6 linked regions of the Macaca fascicularis genome follow. The protein of the gene in region 1 interacts with the protein of each later gene in a biochemical or structural test. Links are inferred from orthologs where the notes say so. Each region holds a gene or a part of one and is shown in the gene's direction. Other genes may lie near its edges.

Region 1 (4,765 bases):
TTCTCTCCACACAGACCCTGTTTCCGTCCTCACTCAGACAAGGTTCCCCTCCCCACACAGACCCTACTGACAGGATTCTCCTCACACAGACCCTACTTCCCTCCTCAGACAGGATTTTCCCCACACGGACCCTGCTGCCCTCCTCAGATAGGATTCTTCCCACACAGATCCGCTTCCCTCCTCAGACAGGGTTCACCTCCCCACACAGACCCTGTTTCCCTCAGACAGGATTCTCCCCACACAAACCCTACTTTCCTCCTCAGACAGGATTCTCCCCACACGGACCCGCTTCCTTCCCTCCTGGGGATTCCCCACTGTTGAGGTTCAGTTTCCCCATCTGGAAAAGCATCAAAGTCAGGGTAGCCACTGACTAAATCATGCGGACGGGACGCCTGGGGGGCTGGATGGGATTTCATAGACTCATTGCTCTGTAGCCTCTTGTGATTTATAGTTTGTGTGTGTGTTTTTGCGGCGGGCGGTAGGGGGGCCGGCGTGGTGGCTGACACCTGTAATTCCAGCTCTTTGGGAGGTCGAGGCGGGTTGATCACCTGAGGTGGGGAGTTGGAGACCAGCCTGGCCAAAGTGGTGAAAGTCAGTCTCTACTAAAAATACAAAAAATAGTCGGGCGTGTGGAGGCGGATGTCTGTAATCCCAGCTACTCAGGAGGCTGAGGCAGGATAATTGCTTGAACCCGGGAGGCAGAGGTTGCAGTGAGCCGAGATCGCGCCACTGCACTCCAGCCTGGGCAACAGAGCAAAACTCCGTCTCAAAACAAACACAAAAAGATTTCTTCTTTTGAGATGGAGTTTCGCTCTTTTCTCCCAGGCTGTAGTGCAATGGCACGATCTCGGCTCACTACAACCTTCGCCTTCCGGGTTCAAGCGATTCTCCTGCCTCAGCCTCCCGAGTAGCTGGGAGTACAGGCGCCCGCCACCACGCCCGGCTAATTTTTGTATTTTTAGTAGAGACGGGGTTTCACCATGTTGCCCAGGCTGGTCTCGAACTCCCGACCTCAGGTGATCGACCCGCCTCGACCTCCCAAAGTGCTGGGATTAAAGGCGTGAGCCGCCGCGCCCGGCCACATTTTTTTCGATCTGTTGTCTAGGCTGGCGTGCAGTGGCACAATCCCGGCTCACTGCTGCCCCGGCCTCCTGGGCTAAACGGAGCCTCCCGATTCGCCTAAGAAAATGGTGGGATTACAGGTATGAGCCACGGCGCCCGTCTGTGATCTACATTTGATTTAGGCAACTTTCTGTGTTTCTCAAGTTTAACTATAACGTGGTTAAAATTCAAAAGTCAGCCCCTGCTCTCACACAGGCGCTTCCTCCCTCCTGGGATGGAGCCTGTCCTCCCCTCTCCCGGGGCACAGCCCTTTACTCCGTCTTGGCCCCGCCTACTTCTCCATTGGCCCTGCCCCCTATCCCGAACGCTTAGTGACGCAGAGGCTGGAGACGACTCTACGCGAGCGAAAAGACGCGGGTTGAGGAAGAGTTACGGACTGCCCATGCGCTTGGGCGCACAGCGGCCCGCTTCGGTGTGGTCTGGAGGTGGAGCTGAGAGGGGAATCACACTCTATAAAGGTGCGCACACCCCACTGGCGGATTAAATTGCGGCAGTGACGTCACAGAGGGACCGCCCCGCCCCCACAAGACCCCACCGACGTGGGGTTGGCCGTGGTGGAAGGACCCGGAGTGGGCGCGTGCGTACTGGCAGCCTCTCCCGCCCCGACCGGCCTGGGCCCCGCCCCCGGGCGTGCGGCGCCCAATGCGCGTGCGCGGCGGCGTCGGCGCCAGTTATTTCTGTCCCGCCCCCCGGCCTCGGCTCTTTCTGCGAGCGGGCGCGCGGGCGAGCGGTTGTGCTTGTGCTTGTGGCGCGTGGTGAGGGTTTCGGCGGCGGCTGAGGAAGAAGCGCGGGCGGCGCCTTCGGGAGGCGAGCAGGCAGCAGTTGGCGGTGCCGCAGCAGCGTCCCGCGCGCGGCGGGCAGCGGCCCAGGAGGCGCGTGGCGGTGCTCGGCCTCGCGGCGGCGGCGGCGGCCCAGCAGTTGGCGGCGAGCGCGTCTGCGCCTGCGCGGCGGGCCCCGCGCCCCTCCTCCCCCCTGGGCGCCCCCGGCGGCGTGTGAATGGCGGCCTCGGCGGCGGCAGCCTCGGCAGCAGCGGCCTCGGCCGCCTCTGGCAGCCCGGGCCCGGGCGAGAGCTCCGCTGGCGGCGAAAAGCGCTCCACCGCTTCTTCGACCGCGGCCTCGGCCTCGGCCTCGGCCTCGGTGTCGTCGCCCGCGGGGGGCGGCGCCGAGGCGCTGGAGCTGCTGGAGCACTGCGGCGTGTGCAGAGAGCGCCTGCGACCCGAGAGGGAGCCCCGCCTGCTGCCCTGTTTGCACTCGGCCTGTAGTGCCTGCCTAGGGCCCGCGGCGCCCGCCGCCGCCAACAGCTCCGGGGACGGCGGGGCTGCGGGCGACGGCGCCGGTAAGTACGAAGTGATCGGGGCCACCCCTCCCCCTACTCTCTGCCTTTGATTCCCACTGGGTGCAGAGATGAGGATGCCACCTGGGCAAGAGGATGGGGGCCCGGACAGTGCACGGGGAGTACTTTCTGGGTCCTGCATAGGAACGTGGGTTTGAGCTGGCCGCTGAGATGAGACATCTGACTAAAGTTGGAGAAAGGGCTCGGGGAGGGGAGGGGCTGGCTCGCTGCGGGGTAATGGTCGGGGGCCCACCCAGCACGGGGATGCGGGGGGCCATAACTTGGGTGGGAACTTGTAACAGTCTCCCACATCCCTGCCTCTTGAAGTGGTGGACTGTCCCGTGTGCAAGCAACAGTGCTTCTCCAAAGACATCGTGGAGAATTATTTCATGCGTGATAGTGGCAGCAAGGCTGCCACCGACGCCCAGGATGCTAACCAGGTGCGTCCAACCGCAGCAACCACAGGGAGGTTTCTGGGGAGGGGGCATCTGCCCAGGAGGAGCTTGACACCAGCTCCCAGGCTGTTACTCGACTTTCCCAAGGCTCTGGGTGGGCTGTCTAGGCTGGGTCAAGGGACCAATCTTAATCTTGGGTTGTATTTTCTGAGGTGTAGATGTGGATCTAGCAAGTTGTCTTGCTTTCTCTGACCCTGCCTTTGTCTGGCAGTGCTGCACTAGCTGTGAGGATAATGCCCCAGCTACCAGCTACTGTGTGGAGTGCTCGGAGCCTCTGTGTGAGACCTGTGTAGAGGCGCACCAGCGGGTGAAGTACACCAAGGATCACACTGTGCGCTCTACTGGTACGTGAGGCTGAGGGGGCTGTTGCTTTCCCGTGTGTGCCCTCAGTTGCTTTTATAATGTTGGTTGCATTTGGTGGATGGGTCCTAGAGTTGTCCAGGGGGTGCCGCCCGAAGGGCCGGAGAGCAGAACTCCAAAAGCAGGAAAATTGTGGTTGTGGTGTGTAGTCTCTAGGGCTTAGGTGGGAGGGGGTGGGAAGGGGAGACGTGGAGACCTTAATGTGCTGCAGGGAGGTACAGAGGGTTTGAGGAAGCTTATCAGGGAGTTCTCAGTCCTGGTGTTGAAGGGCTCAGAATATGCAAACAGGGAAAGGCATGGTGTGAAGGGCTTACTGGGTTTGTGGTTCCCTGGCACACATCTGGTATAAGACGCTGTTAGGGAAAATGAGACTTTGTGGGTCCATGGGTTATAAGTGATGGTGATTTCTGGAAACGTTTTAGCTTTTGAGTTGGCAGAGACTTACCCGGAGTTTGGTTTGGCATTTCCAGCTTTTCGCAGACACTCGCTAGCTTTGATTTGGAAAGGAGCTTGAGAGTCTTTTGAGTGTAGCCCAGTTTTTGGGCCAAAATCCTCCCATGAGTGGCCTTTTGGTAGCCATACCGTGATTCTTCCCATCCCAGAGGCCAGCATTGGTGGAAGATAGTGGGAAAGTGGCGGCTGTGGGGCCTGAGGAGCCAGGAGGGATAGGCAGGGGCTGCAGGGTGTCCTACATTCCAGACGTCCCAAGCAAAGGTCAGGGTGCAGGAATGGTGGCACTGGGGAAGTCAGTTTCCCCAGTGAGCCCTGATGCTACGTATTTTGGATTTGGTTGGTATGTTGGACCACTATGCTTAATCGGTTTTCTAATGGGGAAGCAGGCTTTGAAGGTTATTAATGTGTTGGTCTTGGGGTGGAATTATGCTGAGCACCAAGCTCCTGGTCTAGAGGGGGTGTGACCACCATTCTGAGGGTCCTAGTTTGACATTTTATCTCTCCCAGTATGAGAACCTCTACAGGTTTTCTCTGGGCTCTTGGGTTGTAAGAGACCCTGGTGTTTTCTTGTCACGAAAGAGGGAGGAAGTTAACCATGAAAGGAGAAGAAAAGGAGTCCAGGGTGGTTTGTAGGCAGAATTCTGAATATGTCCACTTGGAGAATAAAGGGAACAGTGTGTGTGGGGGGGTAGTCCTCTTTTTCCGGAGGCTGTCCTTACCTTTACCTTTGTGTCACCTCTAGAAGCTAGAAGAAAGGGATGTGTTTCTCAGCTATGTTGGGGCAGAGGTTTCTGGGAGCAAGGAATTGGGCTTGCAGGCCTGTGTTCTTCGCTGGCCACACCCTCTACATCTTCCCAATAAATGGCCCAGTGTCACAGAATGGGCAGGAAATGAGGCCCCAACTTAGTCTGCTTCCTGAGTTGGGGGTGGTGAAGGGCAAGGTCCAGCCTTATGATTCCGACTCCCCAGGGCCAGCCAAGTCTCGGGATGGTGAACGTACCGTCTATTGCAACGTACACAAGCATGAACCCCTTGTGCTGTT
Region 2 (4,698 bases), on another chromosome or scaffold:
TAACCATAATGCTACTAACAACTTTCATAAGCATTCAGAGAGGACTGCACCAAGATATGCCAAGGAAATCTCGGCTATTTTACTGCTTTGTCCCAATTCTTACCACACAGTCCGTGAGCGTTCCCCATTGCTCAAAATGGCTCCTCAGGCTCTCATCGGTTGTTTCAAAGCTCAACCCTCCAATGAAGAGCTTCCTCAGCTGTTCGGGCTCTTTAGGAGACTGGAGTGGGAGAAGGGGGAAGTGTTAAATGGACTACAACACGAAACAATTTCCATCAAGGAAAAGAAAAACTAGACACCAACTGTGTACCTAGCACTTATTGTTTGTTCAGGTCGCAACAGGCCACGTGCTTCTCCCCACCAAGGGAGGCAGTATGCTGGGGGTTGGGAGTGCTGGGAAATCGCAAGCGCATGCGTCTCTAGTCGTCTTCCGACGCACGCGCAACAAAGGCTTGGGCGGGAGGGGTGCATCTCCATAATGGGACTAACCGCTCTTCAGAAATCTCGCTCACCAAGGCAAGGTTTAAAAAAAGACAAAGATCCTGTGTGCCTAAGAATTTTGCTACGAGTAGCGAGTCCCGCGTGATAACTCGTGGTTGGCGGAGAGCGGCCTCATGGCGATCAAGAGGACAAAATGGCGACTTGAACTTTGGGAGGGGTAGGCCTTGGCAGCGACCGAAGTTAACTGTAGAATCGGCTGGTGCAAGGAACGAAACCAAGCCGCATCTTACCGATTCAGAAAAGGGAGACGAAAAACATTCAAGTTGGAAAGCTCGCCTAACTCACCTCTGACTTAGACATGACGGCAGGGAGAAGAGAGACTTTAACGATGCTTCTTCGGCGGCGTCCACGGGCAGAAAGGAGCAAGCTGACGAACGTATCTGCCAGCCTACCTTCGGCCTCTCTTTTTTACCCCGCCTCCTCGCTTTCGGCATTGGTAGACTCCGCCCTGGAACAGCTCTGATTGGACATTTGAAATCGCTTCCCCTTGCTATTGGCCTGTGGTGCCACATTGCTGTGTAACGTCATTCCTTTGGGCGTTCTACGCGTCTCCACCCCTTGGAGTCAATTGGTTCTCGAGTAATATTACTGTTAACCAGTCTGATTGGCCAACCGACCAATCATTCATGTTTGAATCTACCTGGGGTGTTTAACGCCTTTTTCATCTTCCACGCGTAAATATTACAGTCAAGTCGCTTGGCAAAGCATGATTAACACTATGTATTAGACAAGCAGCCAGGAGGTCACAGTTTTTTTGCAAAGAACGCTTGTTGACCGCACGTGTAGCAAAATGGCGAATTTTGCGCAGGCGCATTAAGAAGTTCCACCTGCCTCTGGGAACACGTGAAATGGCGGGCAGGACTAGGCAGTGAACCTACGGCGCCTGCGTGTTGGCGGGAGTTGGTTCTAGCTTTGCGCATGCGCAGTGGGCGGAGAAAAAAGGTCCGGTCCCAGGATTGGTTGCGCAGGCGCAGGGAAGGATCCGTTTTGGCGGGCGGTTGGCGTTGCGCAGAAGGCGGCGGCGGTGGTGGCTAGTGGTGCGGCCTCACCAAACAGGAACAGGGCAGACGTTAGCGTGAGTGATCACTCTCAATCCCGGGTAAGTGGCAGACAGTCTTATCTACCCATAGTAGGTCTTGAACTGACTCCATTTGGGCCCGTTATTGTGTGAAATGAATGGACCGCGGGGTGGGGGATAGTCAAGGGGCAGCGGTGGATCGGGTCAACCAATAGGAGAACAGGGGGCGGGATGTTTTAATCCCTGTAGGTTCTTGGGAGCTGTGCAGCCGAAGACTTTGACTGGCTTGTGTATAGGCCAATTGGGTGTGCCTTGAGCTGCCGACTGATCGGCCCTTGGGCCATCGGAATGTGGGAGATGGGTTTTCCCCTTCTGAGCAGCGTCTCACTGAGCCAGTGAGCAGGAAGCGCGCGGTAGGTTGGGCTTCTCCAGGAGGCAGCGGTTTGACTCCAATGGGGAATGCGGGATCGGGCGGTTAAACGGATGGAACGAATCTGGAGCCAGTAGACGGACAGCCTAAGGAAAGCACTGGGACCAGTCGTCCAATCGGCTCTCCAAAAGAGAGAGGTCTTCGATTTGGGGTTGTGAGGAAGGGGAGTCGGTGCCTGTAATGGCGTGTGAGGATGAATGTTTTATCCACAATGACTTTTCTAATGTTCTAACGGAGCCTTTAGGCCTCAGTCCCATACACCTCCCTGAAAGCCTAAGTTTCCTCGTGTATTCCTCGACTTGACCATTTTTCCCCCGCCTCCTCACCACTTGAGGTTTGGGGAACAGAGGAGGTTTTTGTTTGTTTTTTTATAATACTTTCAGAAGTCGCTTCTTTAGGAAGACTGTTAAAATGTTAGAACGAATAGGAGAAATCTCTATATCCTGATAGTGCATATTTCCACGAACAATATGTTTGTAGGTCCATAGAAAAGTTTTCCAAAGCTACACACCAAAGTGTGTCAGTCCTAGGGACACAGTAGGATCGAGGCAGGCTGGTTCTTTAATGTTTAAAACTTTGCAAGATTAATGATTTGTGATTAAAATTAAATAAAAAATGAAGTCAATTGTTTTGTGTTTCTAATCATAATCACATACTTACCACCCTTTTTCTGATTTATATAATCCATGTGCCCAGTGCTTTTATTTTAGTCTCTTTCTCCCGGGAACTTTCCCTCTCATACATTTCCTTTCTTTACACCATTAAAGATATCCTAAAACCCCTCATTTTGATGTTCATTTGAGGATATCTGACTTTGGATTAAAAAAGAAACGCTTAAAGAGGGTAATATTTAGGGTTCTGGGGACAGAAGACTCATCCATCACCTGGATTATTCCTTGCCTTTTAATTAGATTTCCTTCGAAGTGTGTTTTACATGCAGTCTATCTCCTTTTGGTAATGCCCCCTCTGCTTATTCCAGGATCTTTTGGAGAAATAAATAAATTTTGATAACATTGGCTGTATCAGAGTCTTACTGCTTTGTTCAATAATTCAGGATCAAGGGAAAATACTTAAATACTGAAAATCAACTACCTATGAAGTACACTTATGACTAGAGACCTTTCCGACTTTATACCAAAGACAAACGATTTTAATAGCAGTTTATGAACAGAGGAAAAATTTCCATGTTCTCTGGCACTAGCAAAAGGATAAAGTATTTATATATAATTTATCCCTGGTTTTAAACCTATTTGTAGGTATGCTAGTAATGGGGTTGCTGAGCTTCTGAGAACTAAAGTGATACTGGTTAAGGGTATCTGTCCTGGATTTATTTAGGTTTGAAAGGAATACAGTCTTAACCTGCAGCAAGATTTCTCAGCATTAGCACTGTTGATATTTTGAGGCAGATAATAATTCTTTGTTAAGGGTATTCGGGGTGTCCTGTGCATAGTAAAATATTTAGCAAAATCCCTGGCTTCTACCCACTGTATGCCAGTAACATCGCACCTCTCGCCACATCCCCATTTGTGACAATCAGATTGTTAACAGACATTGCCAAATGTCCGGAGAGGTAGGGATCGGGGATAAAATCTCCCTCGGTTGAAAATCATTCTCCCAAAATTCTGGAGTATGCAGGGCACAGTTTCGTGTTCCTGTAGTCCCAGCTACTATGGAAGCTGAGGCAGGAGGCTTGAGCTCAGGTGGTCAAGGCTGCAGTGTGAAATGATTATGCCTGTGAATAGCCACTGCACTCGTCTGGGCAGCACAACAAGATCCCATTGCTAAAAAATAAAAATAAAATGCTAGAGTTTATTATTTTTTCAAAATCCATTATTTTACCAATTGGAAAATAGGTAAAAGTGAGAGAAGATGGTTGAAGTGTTTAGGGAGTGGCCTTTGGTAAATGGATCGCTAAATCCTGATGTTTATCTCCTTAGATACAGAATTGATCATTGTTCCATTTGATAAAAGGAAATTTTTATTAAAATTTTTACCACTTGATCTGGTGCCAGTGGCTTACGTCTGTAATCCCAGCACTTTGGGAGGCGGAGGTGGGCGGGTCACTTGAGGCCAGGAGTTTGAGACCAGCCTGGCCAACATGGTGAAACCCGTCTCTACTAAAAACACAAAAATTGGGCCGGGCGCAGTGGCTCATGTCTGTAATCCCAGCCCTTTGGGCGGCTGAGGTGGGTGGATCACTTGAGGTCAGGAGTTCAAGACCAGCCTGGCCAACATCGTGAAACCCGGTCTCTACTGAAAATACAAAAAAATTAAGTGGGCGTGGTGGCAGGTACCTCTAATTCCAGCTACTCGGGAGGCAGAGAGAATTGCTTGAACCCGGGAAGCGGAGGTTGCAGTGAGCAGAAATTGCACCACTGCACTCCAGCCTGGGTGACAGAGCGAGACTCCGTCTCAAAACAAAAAACAAAAACCCCCGCAAAAATTAGCCAGGCATATTGGTGGGCACCTGTAATCCCAGCTACTCAGGAACCTGAGATGGGAGAATCGCTTCAACCTGGAGGCAGAGGTTGTAGTGAGCCAAGATCGTGCCACTGCACCCCAGCCTGGGTGACAGAGTGAGACCTTGTCTCAGGAAAAAAGAAATATTTACCACTTTTTGCAACTTAAACTTACACATATGATTGATTGCATCTTGTCCTTGTTTGGCTTCCTAAAATAACGGCAAATATGTTTTTGAAGAAGGTAGACTTTGCCTCACATCCGTCTTTTTCACTTGATTCTAGCTAGC
Region 3 (3,785 bases), on another chromosome or scaffold:
GAGTGGTTCCTTCTCAGAGAGGAGGCCCCGCCCCACGTTGACGCTGCCGTCAGCCCTGGACCACTACGGCCGGGTTCCCGGATGTGCTTTCCAGACGGCCATCTTGGGAATCTAAAGGATCGGAGGCATTTTGCAAGGAGATTCGAATCAAGTCAGCTGCGGGGAGTCTTAGACCTGGCCAGTCCACAAGGTGAGGGCCCTGAGGAAGAACTGAGGGACCTCCCACCATAGAGAGATGAAATCCCGGCCTGCACTGCCGCTGCAGTGGGACTGGTAGGTCCCAGACAGGAAAATGCCCACAGAAGAAGGGAGGAGGTGCCAGCCCTCTAGGGAATAAATAGGAAGACATTGAGGAGGACTGGGGGAACCCCCATCTCAGAGGACAGATTCCCACAGATTCCCACCCTGCTCCTCGAGAATCAGCCCTCGTAGAACTCCCCTGCCAGCTCAGGCTGAGTGGCAGCCATCTCATTTCTGGGTGAGGGGTGGAGGGGAGGCAGAGGCCTTGTTCTGGGGGTCCCGTGGCAAGTCAGCACGGGGAGCTGCCTCTGGTTGGCAGAGGGAAGATTCCCAGGCCCTGCTGGCGATAAGACAGAAGACAGGAGTCACATGTGCATCAGAACGGACGTGAGGCCACCCAGACCACCTCCATGGTAGAGTCCTGGGAGGTGGCTGCCACTGCACTACCTCCCACTGCTCTCAGGGATGTGGAGGTTGCTAGGAGGTTTTGCCTTAGGCCAGCAGAGTGGTGGGGGCTTGACCCTCTCTGAGAAGCCGTGAGGTTTCCAATTAAATTCTGAGGGGGCCATGCAGTCCAGAACTATGGGGCTCTGGGATTCTGGCCAGCCCCAGCTGTCAGCCCTGGGAGGCCCAAGACTCTACTTGTAGTCTTTAACCTGAGGGGCTCCGTCACTTCCTCTTGCAGGTGCTCCAGGAACCAGGTGGTGACAAACTGGGTGTGAGGCACACATCCTAAAGTCAGCACAGCAGAGGAGACCCAGGCAGTGCCAGGAGTCAAGGTGAGTGCACACCCTGACTGTGTACCAAGGGCCGTACCCCCAGAAACAGAGGAGACCCCACAGCACCCGGCCGTACCCACCTACTGTTATTCCTGGGGTCTCAGGCTCTGCCTGCCAGCTGTGCCCTGAGGTGTGTTCCCACATCCTCCTACAGGTTGCCAGCAGACAAACTCCCTAGGAAGACAGGAGACCTGTGAGGCCCTAGAGCACCACCTTAAGAGAAGAAGAGCTCTAAGTTGGCCTTTGTCAGAGCCATCATGGGTGAGTTTCTCAGCTGAGGCCATTCACACTGTCACTCTCTTCCACAGGCCTGTTGGATCTCATCATCCATATCCCTGTTGATACCTTTACCTGCTGCGCCTGAAGAAGTCGTTATGCCTCCCATTCCGGGCGTTCCATTCCACAACGTTGACGACGACTCTCCGGCCTCAGTTGAGTCAGAGGACTGGGTAGATGCACAGGATCCCACAGATGAGGAAGAGGAGGAAGCCTCCTCCATTTCCTCTTCCACTTTCTACTTAGTATTTTCCCCCTCTTCCTTCTCCTCATCCTCTTCTCTGATTCTTGGTGGTCCTGAGGAGGAGGTGCCGTCTGATGTGATACCAAGTCTTCCCGAGAGCACTCCCAGTAGTCCTCCACAGAGTCCTCCACAGGGTCCTTCCCAGAGTCCTCTGAGCTCCTGTTGCTCCTCTTTTTCATGGAGCTCATTCAGTGAAGAGTCCAGCAGCCAAAAAGAGGAGGATACAAGTACCTGTCAGGGCCTGCCAGACAGTGAGTCCTCTTTCACACATACACTAGATGAAAAGGTGGCCGAGTTAGTGGCGTTCCTGCTCCTCAGGTACAAAGCAGAGGAGCCTGTAACAGAGGCAGAGATGCTGATGATTGTCATCAAGTACAAAGACTACTTTCCTGTGATACTCAAGAGAGCCCGTGAGTTCATGGAGCTCCTTTTTGGCCTTGCCCTGATAGAAGTGGGCCCTGACCACTTTTCTGTGTTTGCAAACACAGTAGACCTCACTGATGAGGGTAGTGATGATGAGGGCATGCCGGAGAACAGCCTCCTGATTATTATTCTGAGTGTGATCTTCATAAAGGGCAGCTTTGCCTCTGAGGAGGTCATCTGGGAAGTGCTGAATGCAATAGGGGTGTATGCTGGGAGGGAGCACTTCATCTATGGGGAGCCCAGGGAGCTCCTCACTAAAGTTTGGGTGCAGGGGCAATACCTGGAGTGTCGGGAGGTGCCAAACAGTTCTCCTCCATATTATGAATTCCTGTGGGGTCCGAGAGCCCATTCAGAAAGCATCAAGAGTAAAGTACTAGAGTTTTTAGCCAAGCTGAACAACACTGTCCCTAGTTCCTTTCCATCCTGGTACAAGGATGCTTTGAAAGATGTGGAAGAGAGAGCCCAGGCCATGACTGATACCACAGATGATGCCACTGTCATGGCCACTGAAAGCCTCAGTGTCATGTCCAGCAACCTCCCCTTTTCTGAGTGAAGTCTAGGATAGTTTCTGCGCTCTGTGTTTGAACAAGGCAGTTTAGGTTCTAGGTAGTGGAGGGCCAGGTGGGGCTCGAGGAACATAATGTTCTTTGCATTTCTGTCCCATATGGGCGATGTGGAGATTTACCTGTTTTTCAGTACTTTTTGAATGCTTTTCCTTTGAATAGCAGGTAGTTAGCTTCAGAGCATTAATTTATGAATATTGGTCACACATGTATTGCTGTTTATCTGGTTTAAGAGTAACAGTTTGATATTTTGTTTAAAAAAAATGGAAATACCTTCTCCCTTATTTTGTGATCAGTAACAGGGTAGTGTGGTATTGTAATAGGCTTTTTGTTTGTTTGTTTGTTTGTTTGTTTGTTTTTTACAATACGCAATAACTCAGCAGTTAAATAGTGGGACAACGTGAAGGATGGTCAATATTTTCATTTCCTTGTCCTGCTTATTCTTTTGTTCTTGAAAATTAAAGATATATACCTGGCTTTGCTTAGCTTGTTGAAGAAAGTAGCAGAAATTAAATCTTAATAAAAGAAAGCCCCACTGACTCCTTTATTTGCTGAGCATTCTTTCAGTATTTGCTTGTGGAAGTCACTGTTAGTAGTGGGGATGCTAATGAAAGCATGACTTATCTCTATCCATAAAACAGTAGAGTCTAGGAGCAGAAGCCATATCAAGAAGGTGGTAAGATGTTCTCTACAATCTAAAGAACAAGTTAAAAAGGGGCTGGGGAGGTGAGACTCCACATGCAAGCCTTCAAGTGTAAAGGTCTTGAGCTAAGGCAGCTTGGGGCTTTGGAAAACTGCAGTTGCTTTTCTGAGGGCTGGTAGTTACAAAGCTGGGTGGTGGCTGGGACCAGACTCTCGGAGGGTGAGGGAAGAGCCTGGAATGGGGAATTGCTCTGAGCAGTTGCTTCTGGGTGGAGGATGAAGCAGAGAGGAGTCTCCACATGGGGAAGTAATGGAAGGTGTCCTGTGGCTCTGTAACTGGTGAGTTTGAACACAGTGCAAGAACCAGGTGATTGATATCCATCATCTGCAAGGGTTTCCTGAGAAATGTAGTGATAATCCCTTGAAGTGGTGCCCAGAAGCCTCTAGGCTGACTCACTTACCTGGGAGAGCCAGAGCCTACTCCATGGAAAGGCCATTTAATTAGGTGATTTTGAATCTAATGTGGGCAACTCCAAGCAAGGGCTAGATTTTTAGTGGAGGATACATAAAACTAGTGCTTTGGATGGATGAGCATTGGGGAAGGCGAAAAGGAGTTGG
Region 4 (4,572 bases), on another chromosome or scaffold:
AGCGGGGACGGAGGGGCAGTGACAGCACAGGCAGGTGGACAGGGGGGCAGTGACAGGATGGGCAGGTGGACGGGGGGGCAGTGACAGGACGGGCAGGTGGACGGGGGGGCAGTGACAGGACGGGCAGGTGGACGGGGGGGCAGTGACAGGACGGGCAGGTGGACGGGGGGGCAGTGACAGGACGGGCAGGTGGACGGGGGGGCAGTGACAGGACGGGCAGGTGGACAGGGGGGCCAGTGACAGCACGGGCAGGTGGACGGGGGGCAGCACAGGCAGGTGGACAGGGGGGCCAGTGACAGGACGGGCAGGTGGACAGGAGGCCAGTGACAGCACAGGCAGGTGGACAGGGGGGCCAGTGACAGGACGGGCAGGTGGACAGGGGGGCAGTGACAGCACGGGCAGGTGGACAGGGGGGCAGTGACAGGACGGGCAGGTGGACAGGGGGGCCAGTGACAGCACAGGCAGGTGGACAGGGGGGCAGTGACAGCACAGGCAGGTGGACAGGGGGGCCAGTGACAGCACAGGCAGGTGGACAGGGGGGCAGTGACAGCACAGGCAGGTGGACAGGGGGGCCAGTGACAGCACAGGCAGGTGGACAGGGGGCCAGTGACAGCACGGGCAGGTGGACAGGGGGGCAGTGACAGCACGGGCAGGTGGACAGGGGGGCAGTGACAGGACGGGCAGGTGGACAGGGGGCCAGTGACAGCACAGGCAGGTGGACAGGGGGGCAGTGACAGCACGGGCAGGTGGACAGGGGGGCCAGTGACAGGACGGGCAGGTGGACAGGGGGGCAGTGACAGGACGGGCAGGTGGACAGGGGGGCAGCACAGGCAGGTGGACAGGGGGGCCAGTGACAGGACGGGCAGGTGGACGGGGGGGCAGTGACAGGACGGGCAGGTGGACAGGGGGGTAGTGACAGGACGGGCAGGTGGACAGGGGGGCAGTGACAGCACGGGCAGGTGGACAGGGGGCCAGTGACAGGACGGGCAGGTGGACAGGCCTGGGCAGGGGCCGGGCAGGAGGCCGCGCGGGCGGGTCTGCGGAGCGGGGGCTGCTGGGGGTTTCGCTGCCCAACTGGGGCGCTGAGCAAGTTACTCAACCTCTGTGAACTTCCGCGTCATGATTGTGGAGGAAACTCCTGCAAAGAAACAGCTTTTCTCTCCGGCGGGTCCGACGGCCCGAGCCCCGCCCCGCAGCGCAGATGGAGGGCGCGGAGGCTGCGAGGGCGGCGCGGGGAGGGTCCGAAGATCCGGCGGGCGGAGCCGCGGGCTGGGCGGTGGGAGGCGGCGCGGGGTGTTCCCGGGGGCGGGGGCGGGGCCGACCCGCGGCTAAAGGTTCCCGGTTCACCCGCCCGCGCCCGGCCTGGCCCAGTCTCACCGCGAGCGCCGCGGACACTCGGGGCCGCAGTCGGTCTGTCCGTCTTCCCGCCAGGTCCCGCCCCGCACCTGCCGCCGCACCTGCCCCCGCACCTGCCGCCGCACCTGCCGCCGCACCTGCCGCCGCACCTGCCCCCGCACCTGCCGCCGCACCTGCCCCCGCACCTGCCCCCGCACCTGCCGCCGCACCTGCCCCCGCACCTGCCGCCGCACCTGCCCCCGCACCTGCCGCCGCACCTGCCGCCGCACCTGCCCCCGCACCTGCCCCCGCACCTGCCGCCCCGCGGCCCGGCCCCAGCATGGCTGACCAGGCGCCCTTCGACACGGATGTCAACACCCTGACCCGCTTCGTCATGGAGGAGGGCAGGAAGGCCCGCGGCACGGGTGAGCTGACCCAGCTGCTCAACTCGCTCTGCACGGCCGTCAAAGCCATCTCCTCCGCTGTGCGCAAGGCCGGCATCGCGCACCTGTGAGTCGCCTCGGGCGGGGCCCGTCTGTCTGTCTGTCTGTCTGTCCGTCCGCCCGGGGAGCCTGTCCGGCGCTGGGCCCTCTGGTCCTCCTGCGTCAGCCTCTGTCCGTCCGTCTGATGTCCGGGCGCCTCTCTCGCTCTCCGTCTGGTGGCCCCTCTCTGCGGAAGCTGGCTCAGCCTCACTCAAGTTCTCACCCCCTCCCTTGACCTTGGAGGGGCCACCTGGGGGTCCGTCTCGCAGGTGCACGCCGGATTCCATCCTCGTGCCCCTCTCAGCCGGCACCTGGCCTGCCCGTCATACCCGCCCTGGCCTCAGACAGGAAGTGCTGGCTCAGGTGCCTTCCGTCCCCATCTCTTCTTTCTCTCTTTCTGTGATGAGGCGCCCAAGTCAGGTTTCTAATCCAGTATCTCTGACCCGAAACGAGACTTGTTAGGAGCGAGTGTCCCCCTCCCAAGCAGGCTGGGAGGTCTCCTGTGTGTCCAGAGCCTTTAGGAGCAGCCTGGTGTGCAAAGGAGCTCCCGTGGGCTGCCCCTTGCTGGGACCGTTGCCATGCTGTGCCAGAAAGAGGAAACACCCAGGGCTTCAAAACCCTAATCCATTTGCAATGACGGTGTGTGCAGCCCCCACCCAATTAGTGGAAAGCTCAAAAGTTGTTTGTAGAATGGTTTCGAATGCTCTGTGGGGTGCATCTCGAACGTCACTGGGCACCGGAATCATTGGGGATCTTGGTAAGACGTGTGCCCTCTTTCCGTCGCTCTGGGACGGGTCCTGAGATTCGGCATTTCTGAGAAGTCCTCCTGTGGTGGATGCTGCCCGTCAGATACTGTGTGTCTGCTGATCTCATTGTGAGTAGCAAGGGGTCAAGGCGAGGGGAGACTCAAAGGACCCCTTCTTGTGAGGTTTTTGTAAGTCACACAACATCCTTTCGTTTGTGTTGGTGTGCACAGGTATTTTCTTTTTCTTTCCTTTCTTTCTTTTCTTTTCTTTCTTTCTTTTTTTTTTTTTTTGAGACGGAATTTTGCTCTTGTTGCCCAGGCTGGAGTGCAATGGTGCGATCTTGGCTCACTGGAACCACTGCCTCTCGGGTTCAAGCGATTCTCCTGCCTCAGTCTCCCGAGTAGCTGGGATTACAGGCATGTGCCACCACGCCCAGCTAATTTTGTAATTTTTTTTAGTAGAGACGGGGTTTCTCCATGTTGGTCAGGCTGGTCTCGAACTCCCGACCTCAGGTGATCCGCCTGCCTCGGCCTCCCAAAGTGCTGGGATTACAGGCATGAGGCACCGTGCCCAGTCGTGCACAGGTGTTTTCTAGCTAACTGATCCACACTTTTAACTAAACGGTAACTGGGTTTTCAGATTGTCCATACACCTTCCTAACATTTCCTGCACTTACGTACGCTATAAAAATGACACATGATGGACCGGGCGCGGTGGCTCATGTCTGTAATCCCAGCACTTTGGGAGGCCAAGGCGGGTGGATTGCCTGAGGTCAGGAGTTCAAGACCAGCCTGACCAACATGGTGAAACCCCGTCTCTATTAAAAATTCAAAAATTAGCTGGGTGTGGTGGTGTGCGCCTATAATCCCAGCTACTCGGGAGGCTGAGGAAGGAGAATTGCTTGAACCCTGGAGGCAGAGGTTGCAGTGAGCCAAGATCGCACTATTGCACACCAGCCTGGACGACAAGAGTGAGACTTCATCTCAAAACAAAAGACACATGATGCTCAGAGCTGACCTGAACAAATATAATCCCACTACTTTGGTTTGGAATGCATGTCTCCATTTTTAAAATCTCTTCTCCGCCCCCCATCCTGCAATCTAGATTCCTCTTCTTACTGGGAGGCTGTCTGGCGTTGGTCCCACAGTATGGATTGGCGGAGATCATTCATGTAAAGGAGTTGTATGATCACATTTATTTTTGAATATTAAGCAGACATGTTAAGGAAGGCGATGACTCCATTGCTGTTGCCTCTGGCCCCTCTTAATAATACATTCCTAAGGATTCTTACTTTAGAAACACACCCAGGTGAAATCTTATTCAAGCTTTAATTTACAGCTATTATAGGTGGCTCACAGCTTTAACTGCCTTTGAGGACCAGGGATATATTTTAAAAAGAGGGCTGTCGACTGGGTGCTCACACCTGTAATCCCAGCACTTTGGGAGGCCGAGGCAGGTGGATCACCTGAGGTCAGGAGATGGAGCCCAGCCTGGTCAACAAGGTGAAACCCCGTCTCTACTAAAAATAAAAAAATTAGCCAGGCTTGGTGGCGGGTGCCTGTAATCCCATCTACTTGGGAGGCTGAGGCAGGAGAATTGCTTGAACCTGGGAGGCGGAGGTTGCAGTGAGCCGAGATTGTGCCACTCTACTCCAACCTTGCGACAGAGTGAGACTCTGTCTCAAAAAAGTAAGTCTCAGAAAAGAAAAAAAAAAGGGCTTATCATGTCTGATAGCTTAAAAAATGGTCAGTACCTGTCACACTTCTAGAGAGACTTAGAAATGTAAGATGTGTTTTGAAGTGTCCCACTTCCTAAGTAACCTTAGATAGTGGGACCTCAGATAGTGAGATTTTGATAGTAGGGCCTGGATGAAGCATGCTAATTTTGGCTACAGAAGATATGCGTATTATTTATTTATTTATTTTGAGATAGAGTCGCACTCTGTTGCCCAGGCTGGAGTGCAGTGGTGTGATAATGGCTCACTGCAGCCTCAACCTCCCGGGCTGAAT
Region 5 (4,608 bases), on another chromosome or scaffold:
CCACTTCTATGCCTTGACAGAGAAAGCACACTAAAAGAATAAGAGAATTAAAAGAAAAACGCTGAGAGGAAGGCGAGCCATGAAAATGGCGGCCGCCAAATCCGGTTCCCGGGAGAGAGGGGGAGGGGAAGCTCCGCAGCCTCGCTCACGGGTACCCGCTGCCCGCCGAAACACTCGCCGCGGAGACGCCGTGGCCCCCAAAGCATCGTGCTTTAAAAAGGGAATAAGAATTCCCGCCTCCGCGCCCCACTTTCACTCCAGCGGGGCAGCGTCCGCCATGTGAAAGCTCCCCATCCCCCACCCCCAGTGAAGGGAAATGGCGCCGGGAGGCCGAGGGTGGGGAAGCTTGTTTGTACGCTCAGGCCTCCGGTCAAGACCCCGTTCATAAACCTCAAGCCCCACTGCTACTGAAGCGGTCCGATTTCCTGCCGCTCTCCCACGGAGGCGGCCGGCCGACTTCCACAAGGGGGCCAACGGCCTCGCCATGCCCTTTCCAATAACTCATTGATTTCAAACCCGTTACCTCCATCGCGGACTCAGTCGCTTCAGCCCGATTTCCCGCAGCCGAGCGAGATGAGAGAGATCTCCGCGGACGAACACGAACCGGACTCGTCCTGGCGCTGTAGTGAGAACTGCCTCTCCTCGAGAAACAACACCGCTAGGAGTACCTCCGCACGGGACCCGGCGCTGCTGCTACTGCCGCTAGAGCCGCTGCCGCCGCTTTTCTAGAACCTTCCCCCCCACTAACGCGTCTTCCTCTACGTCAGGCCGTTGCGTAAACGCCCTAACCGCCGCCAATGGCGGGAAGGCTCTACGCCCCTCCTTACGCCAAATGCGTACTCCTCCCCCTCCTGTGGCCAGCGACAGTGCCCGACGTTACTTCCGTAAATGCGCTCAGTGAATTGCGGAAGGCTCGAGTCCCGCGAGTTACTACCTCTCGGAATAGGGTCCCGCCCCCGGCCTTGGCGCAAGGCAGGTGAGAAACGGTCGCGCAGTTTGAAATTAACGCCGACGGGAGGAGCTTAATCCGGAGCCCGGAGTTCCAGCCCTCTCAACCTGGGAGGTGGTCCCTGCAGCTACGCCTTTGATAACCCCCGCCAGAAAAATCGTAGTATAATATGAGCCTTCCCTTTTCGTTTTTCGTGTCCCAACTCGGCGGATTGACTCGGCCCCTTCCGGAAACACCCGAATCAACTTCTAGTCAAATTATCGTTCACGCCACACTGACCTAACCCTGACCCGCGTCTATGCAGCTGACCCCTGGGGTACAGGAGGGGTCTCTGCTGAAAGTGGTCCCAAAGGGGTACTAGTTTTTAAGCTCCCAACTCTCTCTCCCCAAGCGTTTGGAGGATTCCGCACCCTCGCACCGCAGGGGCGAGGAAGTGGGCGGAGTCCGGTTTTGGCGCCAGCACTGAGGCTGCAAAGCAGAAAAGCCACCGCTGAGGAGACTCCGGTTACCGTCCTCGCCCCTCCTCCCCCCTCCCTCCCCTTGGGGACCACCAGGCGCCACGGGGCGAACGGTAAGTGCCGCGGTCTTCGCAGCCGCCCTCCCCCTAGGGCCCCAATTCCCAGCGGGTGCGGCGCGCGGCCCCTCCCCCCCGCCGGGCGCGCGCCCGCTGCCCCGCCCTTCGTGGCCGCCCGGCGTGGGCGGTGCCACCCCTCCCCCCCCCGGCGGCCCCGCGCACAGCTCCCGGCTCCCTCACCCCTCGGATGTGGCTCGAGCTGTAGGCGCGCAAGGCCGGAGACGCTGCAGACCCGCGACCCGGAGCAGCTCAGAGGCGGTGAAGTCGGTGGTTTTCCTTCTCTCTAGCCCTCGCTCGGTGGTGGTGCATCAGATGCTGCACGCGCCCCGGGGGCCCGCTTCTCCGCTCCCCTCCCTTCCTTGCCGGACACCGCGCCGGGAGCTGCGGGAAGGAGTGGAGAGGGTCGGGCGGTGGCCTCGCGGCTGACCTGGCTCGGGGCCGGCGCCGGCAGTTAGTGGGGGGACTGTTCGGTCCTCGAGGGGGTAGGGAGCTGTGGCGACGGTCGCCCTATTTCGAGACAAAGCGCATTTTCCCTCCCCTCCCCCACCAGCGTTCCGGCGGAGGCGCCCCCTCCCCCAGCCGCCACGCGGGGCTGGGTCGAGACTTGGGCCTCCGGGAGGGCGGCGCGTGGTCCCGTGTCCGCGAGGCCTGGCGGCGCGCGGCCGACTGTCCCGAGGTTGCGGCGGCCGTCCCGTTAACGTGGCCGCCGCGGGGGGTAGGCGCGTGCCGTGTGGCGCAGTGCCCTTGAGCCCCCGCGCCGCGGCCTTTGTTTCTCCCTGCGGATGCGCTGACCACGAGGCCCGCGCTCCCGGGTGGGGGCGGGCAGCTGCGCTTAGGCCTCGGGACGCAGAGCTCCAGCGGAGAGGGTCGGAGGCGGAGGGGGAGCGGGTGTGTGCAAAAGGTGATTGCGTCTTCAAAGTGTCACGAAACGGGGTTGAAGCATCGTTAAGTTTTTTCCTTTAGTTAGTTAACTGCTGATTGGAAAAAGAGAGGGTTTCTGAGCAGAAACAAACTTAGGATTGCAGAACAGAGAAGATTCACAGGGGTTTACAGTTGTGAGTTGTTTGGGTAATCGTGCATGGTTTTAAACCGAAAGGATTGTCCTTTAAAAATGGAACATGGACTTGATTACAAATGGGATTTAGATTAGAAAAGATATTTGTCCCCTATGTTAAGCCATGTGAAGCTGCCTTAGGTACCAAGATCCCCAGTAAAGTCTTTCTAGACTCACATGTTTAGAACACGTACTTACGTGCATCATAAGCAATGTAGGTAGGAGCGCAAATCTACTCTGGATTTGTATCAACGTTTGAAATGTGCGCTCCCTACTTGGGGGTTGGAATCCAAACAGAACTTGTATTTAGTTACCTTTTTTGTGTCGTGCAAACTTCTCTTAACTGTCATGCATTTTTCTAGTAATAGTTCTTCAAGTCTGCAATAAAAAATGGCCTCCAATAAAACTACATTGGTAAGTTAATGAAAAGCTAAAGTATGTAAGGATTTAACCCAAGGTTTTTTCCCCCAAAGTATAACTTTGCATCTTTGTGGTTGAGAAATTTACATCGACATATTTCCCAGCTCTCCCAGTATAATTATAGGGGAAAATTAGGAGCAAAACGAATTCATTACATGGAGATACTTGCTGACTTGACTTAATAGCGTCTTAACTAGTTTAATCTTTGAAGGACAGTGCAATGTGGATTTTGCTGAGGATTTTTATCTTCAGATAGAAATACCCACGTTTTTGCAAAATATTACATAAAATAATAAAGCCCTTGTTGGTTGGCATAATTTTCCTTAAATCCCCAGAATTCTGGAGAAGTATTTTCATTAAAGCCAAATTTGAAGAACCAGGTACCTTGTGCACCTAGGTTGGAGCAAGTTAGTGAATCTTTCAAATGGCTTTGGTCACTTTATCTTGTTTTAACTTACTCTGAAATATAGAAGAATCTTGAATACAATTCATTGCGGTGTTTTGTTTTTTTTAAAAAAAATGATCGAAATAGCAAATACGATCCAGAAGGGAGAAAAGGCTAGATTTTTTGTATCTTCTTCAGCTATGTCATGTTACAAGTTTTTTAAAACCTTGGAATATTCACATAAAAATCATGAAATTCAAAGTTACAGTTTTCACAATATTTAACTCTCAACATATTGCATTAATCTTAAGCGCGTAAAGGTGAATGTTAATGTCTCCTAGGTAAAGTAAAGCATTTGTTTTTGGTCTGTATATGTTCTCTCTGGGTTTCACACTAGAAAGGGCACGTTGGTGATTTTTAATTTGTGCCATCATTAGATTCTATGTTAAGTCAGATACCCTGGAAAACAGAATTTGTTTTTGCATGCAATTGATACTCTTTGGGGTCTGTTATTTATTGGTATTTAAATAGTTTATTTTGTGAGGGATCACAGGTTGGCCACTTTAAAACTTTTTTTAACTTTTCATTTTAAAAATTCATTAGTGTTGTGAGATATATGTACTGTTAATTTCACTTAAATAATGGGAAATTTATTTTGACTCAAATCCACATTTGGAAAAAAGTACTGGGTTAAGCCAAACATATACTACAAAAGAAAATGGTGAGCATTTGAAACTAGCTTATGAATGCCATAGTAGTAAATACTGTATGGTATTTTGTCTGCCCCTTTTTTTTTTCTTTTTTTTAACCTTAGTATGTATCCTTTTCATTTTCTATACTTATTTTTTACTTCTTTATTTTGTTAGCCTTCTCCCTTTGTGGCAGTAGCTGTTTTGTTTTTCATGTAGTATAGGTATCTAATACACTTCTGTCTCTTCCAATTTGTTTTTGCTTCTCCCACTATTATTTCTACCTTCTTGTACTGTACAATGACAGAAATCTGTTTGGGCCCAGTACTCAAGTATCTTGACTAATGAGAATCATAAGACCTGACTTGGAAATGGTATCCGAGAAAGTCAGGTGTTTGCTGCATTTTTTTGTATTCCAGGGGAGTGTGTGTGTGTGTGTGTGTGTGTGTGTGTGTGTGTGTGTGTTACCTATATGCTTGCTTGCATAGCTTGAAATGTCATTTTGCAGTCTTGAGGCCTTTCTTACATGTGTGTCTG
Region 6 (4,797 bases), on another chromosome or scaffold:
TTTCCTCTCCTAGCTCCTGACTCACCTCTATCTGGTAGACAGTTTTGCCCATTTCTGCTGGTACCGATGCCAGGTTTGGCATCGGTCACAGCACTCAGATTGCAATACACCAGAATAGGATTAACCCATGCATTTCCTCTACGGGAGGGAGGTAGTAGAGTGACTGGCAAGTCGAATGTTGCATGAGTGTGTCTATTTATAGCCCGCAAAATGGGGTGCTGCCCTGCAGGGACAGCTGGAGTGAAGGAAATGACACGCCTGGGAGAGTAACTTACTTCTGAGTCAGGAGCTTTAGAGAGATGAAGGAAGAAGCCTCCTGGGCCAGAGTTTTGGATGGAAAATGAACACCCAGTCAAGTCTCTAGGACTATAAGTGGGGCGGGGACTAGTTGTGAGCGCGAGTTAAGTAGGGGCCCTTACCAAGGAACATAGGACCTGGGTTCCCCAACCCTTTCGCTAGGTCCATGGCGTTGATCAGCCCTGAGCTAATTCCTCCATGCTGCCCAGAACCTCTCTGGGCCAAGCCCTGGGGACTCAGAGATGACAGCAATACTTCCATTGAGGAACTCCCATACGCGGGCCACAGGGAGGCTCTGGAGGCGGCCTGTGTATTAGGAGGGATCAGAACTACCCCACCCCCACCCTCACTCAGCCATCTGGGCTTCTCTGAACCCCTTCTCCTCCTCTGTTCCCTAAGGCCAGCCAGGGGGAGTCCCAGGGAGGCAGACCAAAAAGGGGTGGGGTGTCATCCTGGTCACTATTAGACCCTGGAACGGCGACCTTGAAAACTACTCAGCGTCTGTTGCCCGAGTGGAGCATAGTGCTTTACAATCACAGCAAACCATCAAGGTAGGGCTACTGTTATTTTATGGTTGAAAAACGGAGGTCCTGAGTCCCTTGGGGGCTGTGCCAGCAGCGGCCAAGTTGAGATTTCCCCTGGTTCAGCAGCCCCAGACAGCACACGGTGCAGGGTAGGCTTTCTGCTTCCTTCACTTCCCCAGGGCAGGTGAGTGACCTGGAGAAAGGGGGTCACCCCTAAAAACAGGGGTAGTGCTAGGACTGAAACTCTCCCTTCTTGATACCCCACTGGCAAGCTTGAGGAGCCAGGTTGCCAGTCGGGAGATTCGGCCGGTGTTCCCCCTGGAGAGGGCGGCAAGTGCCCGGGCGATCCCCTCACCTGCGTTCAGGAGATAGACCCCCGCCCCCAACCCGCCAGGAGGGTGAAAAGATGGCCCCAGGAGCCAGCCGGCTGGGAGAAGGCGGAGTGAGAGGAGAGGCTGGGGCCGGGGGTGCCGGGCTGTCCAGGGCAGCCCTCCTCCGGGCGAGCCGGAGCAGGGGTGGATGGGGAGCGCGCGGGGCGGGCCCGTGGTGGCCCCGGGGCGGTGGCGCCCGGCCGGAGAGGGTGGGGCGGAGCAGCCGCCCTGTACTTCCCCTTCGCCGCTAGCTCTACAACAGCCTGATTTCCCCGAAATGACGGCACGCAGTCGGCCAATGGGCGCCCGCGCGGCTGTCCGGAGGCGGGGCCGGCCAGGGCTGGGGAATCCCGCTAAGTGTTTGGATTGCTCGGTGGCGCCGCTGCCCTGGCAGAGCTCGCCACTCCTTCGTCGAGGCAGGACGTGCGCCCGAGCCCCGCCGAACCGAGGCCACCCGGAGCCTTGCCCAGCCCACGCCAGCCGTGCCCAGCGGCCTTGAGACCCAGACAGCCTCTGCCTTCTTCCCCCTTCCACCCGGAGTCGCGCTCCGCGCCCCCTCACGGCAGCCCCTGCGTCGCCGGGACCTTCGCGCGCCGCCGCCGGGACCTTCGCGCGCCGCCGCCGAATCGCTCCTGCAGCAAAGGTGAGTCCGCTTTTGCGGCGCGGGGGACCGGCGGCGTCGAATAAAAGGCGCGCGGGGCACCAGGAAGTGGGGGTTCGAAAACCCCAGGTTGGAGACTCGCGGGAGCGCGGCGTTGCCCGGGCCCCCGCGCGGGCTCCGGGGGGCGCCGGAGGAGCTGCGAGCCGCGGCGCGGGGAGGGCGGGCCGCGGCGTGGACCGCCCACCCGGACGAGGCTGCCGGCGCCGGGCAGCTTTCGCAGATATGCGTGCGCGCAGCCGCTGGGGGCCTGTAGGTGGCCCGCTACGTTCGTCCCGCGCATCCACACGCCGTGCCGGGGACCGAGTGTCCGCCCACGCGTGGGCGCCCAGTGCTCCCGGCTTTCGGCGGTCCCAGCTTCGCGCCCAGGCCCCAGGTTTTGGGCTCCCTGTGCTGGTGACAAGGGCTGGCTTACTGCCCAGGTGGCTGGAGGGAATCGTGACCTACGGAGACTGCGGGAAGAGGCGCCACAGGTGTTCCTTGGGCCGCTTCTCCAGAGGAGGGGAAACCGGGCCGGAAGGGTTAGCGTCCTAGTCTTAGCGTAGTGGGCTCTGTGACTGTCAGGAGGGCGTAGAATGGATTCAGGGGGGCTGTTCAGGGTGATGGCTAGCCCTTTACTAGCTAGTGGTGACAACTCAAGTCAAGGGAATTTCTTCTTGGCATCAAGCAAAAGAAGTCCCTCCCTTCCCAAAGGATTTGAATTTTGAGCGAAAAGTTCTGAAATTAGGATATCTGTGCATTTTCTCTCTTTTCCTGCACATGAATCCTAAAGCCATCACTTGCATGCCTGTCTCATCCAGAGACTGGCTGGGATGGAGGAAGGGGCAGAAGCATTTTTGCCTAAGATGCTGAAAAAACTTGGAGAGCAGTTTTATTCCAGGGCAGCTCCCCTCCCCACTGAGTGTAGTACCTAGTAGCTGGCTGAGGGGAGGGTAACTAAGTGAACTCGGGTGGGGCAGGTCAGTGCCCAGGTACTGTTCAACAGATTCCAGACTGGAGCCTCTGTCTTCTCTTTACAGCCAACATGCCCATCACTCGGATGCGCATGAGACCCTGGCTAGAGATGCAGATTAATTCCAACCAAATCCCGGGGCTCATCTGGATTAATAAAGTGAGTGTAACTCTTTGGGTTTTCCTGCCACTGTTTTAACCCATGTACTTCTGGAGGGACCAAAGCTTCAGATGCAGCTCAAAAAGGGAAGTGATAACAGGACAGGCAGATGTTTCTCCCAATGGGTCCTGCATGCAGGGAGGGAGTGTGCAAGGCCCAGCCTGGGCCTCACTTGCACGACTCCTGCTTTCTTCCCTTCTTGAGGTAGGGCACCCACCTGAAGGCACTTCCAGTTTCCAGCAGCAAGACTTTCCCAGCATCTGCAGAGCTGGAGTTCTGGTCTCCTCTGAGGGAGACCCTTACAAACATACACAGCACCTTGCAGGGCTCTAATCAAACAAATAGAAGACTTGAGAAGTGGATGCTGCTGGGCAGAAAGGTGGCTGGCTTAGCAGAGGACAAACGAATCAATCTTGCACCAGTCACTGTGGCCCAAGAAGCCTATAGCTGGTGCACTTGGGGCAACATAGACACTATAGGCTTAGTAGCAATGATAGTATTCATAATAATAGCTAATGCTTACTGAACACTCTCTGTGTGCCTGGCACCTGCTACGTATGTTATTTACATTGTGTCATTTAATCCTCGCAGTAGTCCTGTGGGGTAGGTCCTGTTCATGTCATCATTTTCAGATAAGTAAACAGAGGCACTGAGAGGAAGATTGTAAGATCACACAAAAAGTGATGAAGCCAAGATTTGAACTTGAATGGTCTGACTCAGAAATCTTTACTGTTAACCATCAGTGATAATAACAGTAAGACCTTAGACTTCATATTTGTCACTGTGTCCCTACACATTCTCTGGTTTTTAATTCTCAAAATTTTGTTGGATATGTTTTCTCATTTCAGAGAAGAGAAAACTGAGGGGAAAAGAGATACAGTGACAATGCCAGGGTTACACAGTGTTCACCATCCAAGTCTAGCTCCCTCAGTCGTATGACCAGGACCTCTTGTGTAGAAGCCCATGGTCCCAGGTGTCCTGAGGAGTCCTTTCTAATGGAAGAAGTTCTTACTTCCATGTTGGTGTTTACAAGCCAGAGAGAAACATCCCAGAGCTTCAAAATCAGGGCTTTGGGGGAGGGTGCCCTGTGTGGGTCCTAGCACATGTGTAACAGGCAGAGGGAGGTCTTTGTGAGCTAATAGTGCTGCAGCTCATCCGAACTAGGAGTCCCTCCTGAGAGATCCCGAGTGGTCTGTTTAAGCCAGCCTAAAGATGGGTCAGTCCAAGCCAGATGGCAGGGGGAAAAGGGGAAGTCAGCCTTTTCTCAGACCTGTCTGGCTGGGCAAGCCTGGGTCTCAGACTCAGCCCCAAAGTCTGTGGCCTCTGAGCTGACACAGCCTCGTGTATATGTGTGTGTTGTTCAGGAGGAGATGATCTTCCAGATCCCATGGAAGCATGCTGCCAAGCATGGCTGGGACATCAACAAGGATGCCTGTTTGTTCCGGAGCTGGGCCATTCACACAGGTGTGTGCCTGGGACTCAGGCCTAGGAAGGCCAGGGTAGAGACAAGAGGAGGCACTAACGTTAACACAGAGGCTCTTCACTGGGGTCCCTGAGCTCCCTGAGACAATATGCAGAATTACTGGGAACAGGGGCTGGTGGCAGACTAGTGTTTCTGGAGAAGAGAGTCCATCATTTCAGCAAATTCTCAAAGGGATTTCTAAAGCCAAGATCTTAGAAAGTGTGTGGCTTCAGGGGGGTTGTGGCTAGATGAGAGTTTTCCCTGGCAAAAGCATCTGTGAAAAGCAGCTGTAAGCCAGGGCACTGAAAGAGAGCCAGGTCTGCCTTCATGTTGACCAAGGCCCTTGGTCCAAGGCTCGTGTGGTTGGTAGCCTC

What was found.
Region 2: the proteins of TRIM28 (region 1) and CBX5 form a complex in vitro, tested with the Homo sapiens proteins (6 studies listed by BioGRID, with this or other methods). The link is inferred for Macaca fascicularis from reciprocal best matches to the Homo sapiens genes TRIM28 and CBX5.
Region 3: the proteins of TRIM28 (region 1) and melanoma-associated antigen C2 form a complex in vitro, tested with the Homo sapiens proteins (3 studies listed by BioGRID and IntAct). The link is inferred for Macaca fascicularis from reciprocal best matches to the Homo sapiens genes TRIM28 and MAGEC2.
Region 4: the proteins of TRIM28 (region 1) and FBP1 form a complex in vitro, tested with the Homo sapiens proteins (2 studies listed by BioGRID). The link is inferred for Macaca fascicularis from reciprocal best matches to the Homo sapiens genes TRIM28 and FBP1.
Region 5: the proteins of TRIM28 (region 1) and CBX3 form a complex in vitro, tested with the Homo sapiens proteins (2 studies listed by BioGRID). The link is inferred for Macaca fascicularis from reciprocal best matches to the Homo sapiens genes TRIM28 and CBX3.
Region 6: the proteins of TRIM28 (region 1) and IRF1 form a complex in vitro, tested with the Homo sapiens proteins (2 studies listed by BioGRID). The link is inferred for Macaca fascicularis from reciprocal best matches to the Homo sapiens genes TRIM28 and IRF1.

What each region holds. Positions count from the first base shown.
Region 1 is NC_088393.1:66,277,167-66,281,931, forward strand, and holds the start of TRIM28 (transcription intermediary factor 1-beta), read left to right. Parts: upstream 1-1,823; 5' UTR 1,824-2,118; coding exon 2,119-2,458; intron 2,459-2,782; coding exon 2,783-2,895; intron 2,896-3,121; coding exon 3,122-3,254; intron 3,255-4,692; coding exon 4,693-4,765. UniProt on the Homo sapiens protein: Nuclear corepressor for KRAB domain-containing zinc finger proteins (KRAB-ZFPs).
Region 2 is NC_088385.1:61,123,213-61,127,910, reverse strand, and holds the start of CBX5 (chromobox protein homolog 5), read left to right. Parts: upstream 1-1,485; 5' UTR 1,486-1,600; intron 1,601-4,698. Other genes in the region: HNRNPA1 (heterogeneous nuclear ribonucleoprotein A1), read right to left, coding at 104-220, 787-801. UniProt on the Homo sapiens protein: Component of heterochromatin that recognizes and binds histone H3 tails methylated at 'Lys-9' (H3K9me), leading to epigenetic repression. In contrast, it is excluded from chromatin when 'Tyr-41' of histone H3 is phosphorylated (H3Y41ph).
Region 3 is NC_088395.1:148,297,835-148,301,619, reverse strand, and holds melanoma-associated antigen C2, read left to right. Parts: upstream 1-1,340; 5' UTR 1,341-1,393; coding exon 1,394-2,515; 3' UTR 2,516-2,872; downstream 2,873-3,785. UniProt on the Homo sapiens protein: Proposed to enhance ubiquitin ligase activity of RING-type zinc finger-containing E3 ubiquitin-protein ligases.
Region 4 is NC_088389.1:128,433,415-128,437,986, forward strand, and holds the start of FBP1 (fructose-1,6-bisphosphatase 1), read left to right. Parts: upstream 1-1,359; 5' UTR 1,360-1,675; coding exon 1,676-1,845; intron 1,846-4,572. UniProt on the Homo sapiens protein: Catalyzes the hydrolysis of fructose 1,6-bisphosphate to fructose 6-phosphate in the presence of divalent cations, acting as a rate-limiting enzyme in gluconeogenesis. Plays a role in regulating glucose sensing and insulin secretion of pancreatic beta-cells.
Region 5 is NC_088377.1:104,102,530-104,107,137, reverse strand, and holds the start of CBX3 (chromobox protein homolog 3), read left to right. Parts: upstream 1-1,395; 5' UTR 1,396-1,520; intron 1,521-1,708; exon of another isoform or gene 1,709-2,424; intron 2,425-2,939; 5' UTR 2,940-2,967; coding exon 2,968-2,991; intron 2,992-4,608. Other genes in the region: HNRNPA2B1 (heterogeneous nuclear ribonucleoproteins A2/B1), read right to left, coding at 524-529.
Region 6 is NC_088380.1:139,014,855-139,019,651, reverse strand, and holds the start of IRF1 (interferon regulatory factor 1), read left to right. Parts: upstream 1-1,584; 5' UTR 1,585-1,835; intron 1,836-2,869; 5' UTR 2,870-2,874; coding exon 2,875-2,961; intron 2,962-4,325; coding exon 4,326-4,425; intron 4,426-4,797. UniProt on the Homo sapiens protein: Transcriptional regulator which displays a remarkable functional diversity in the regulation of cellular responses.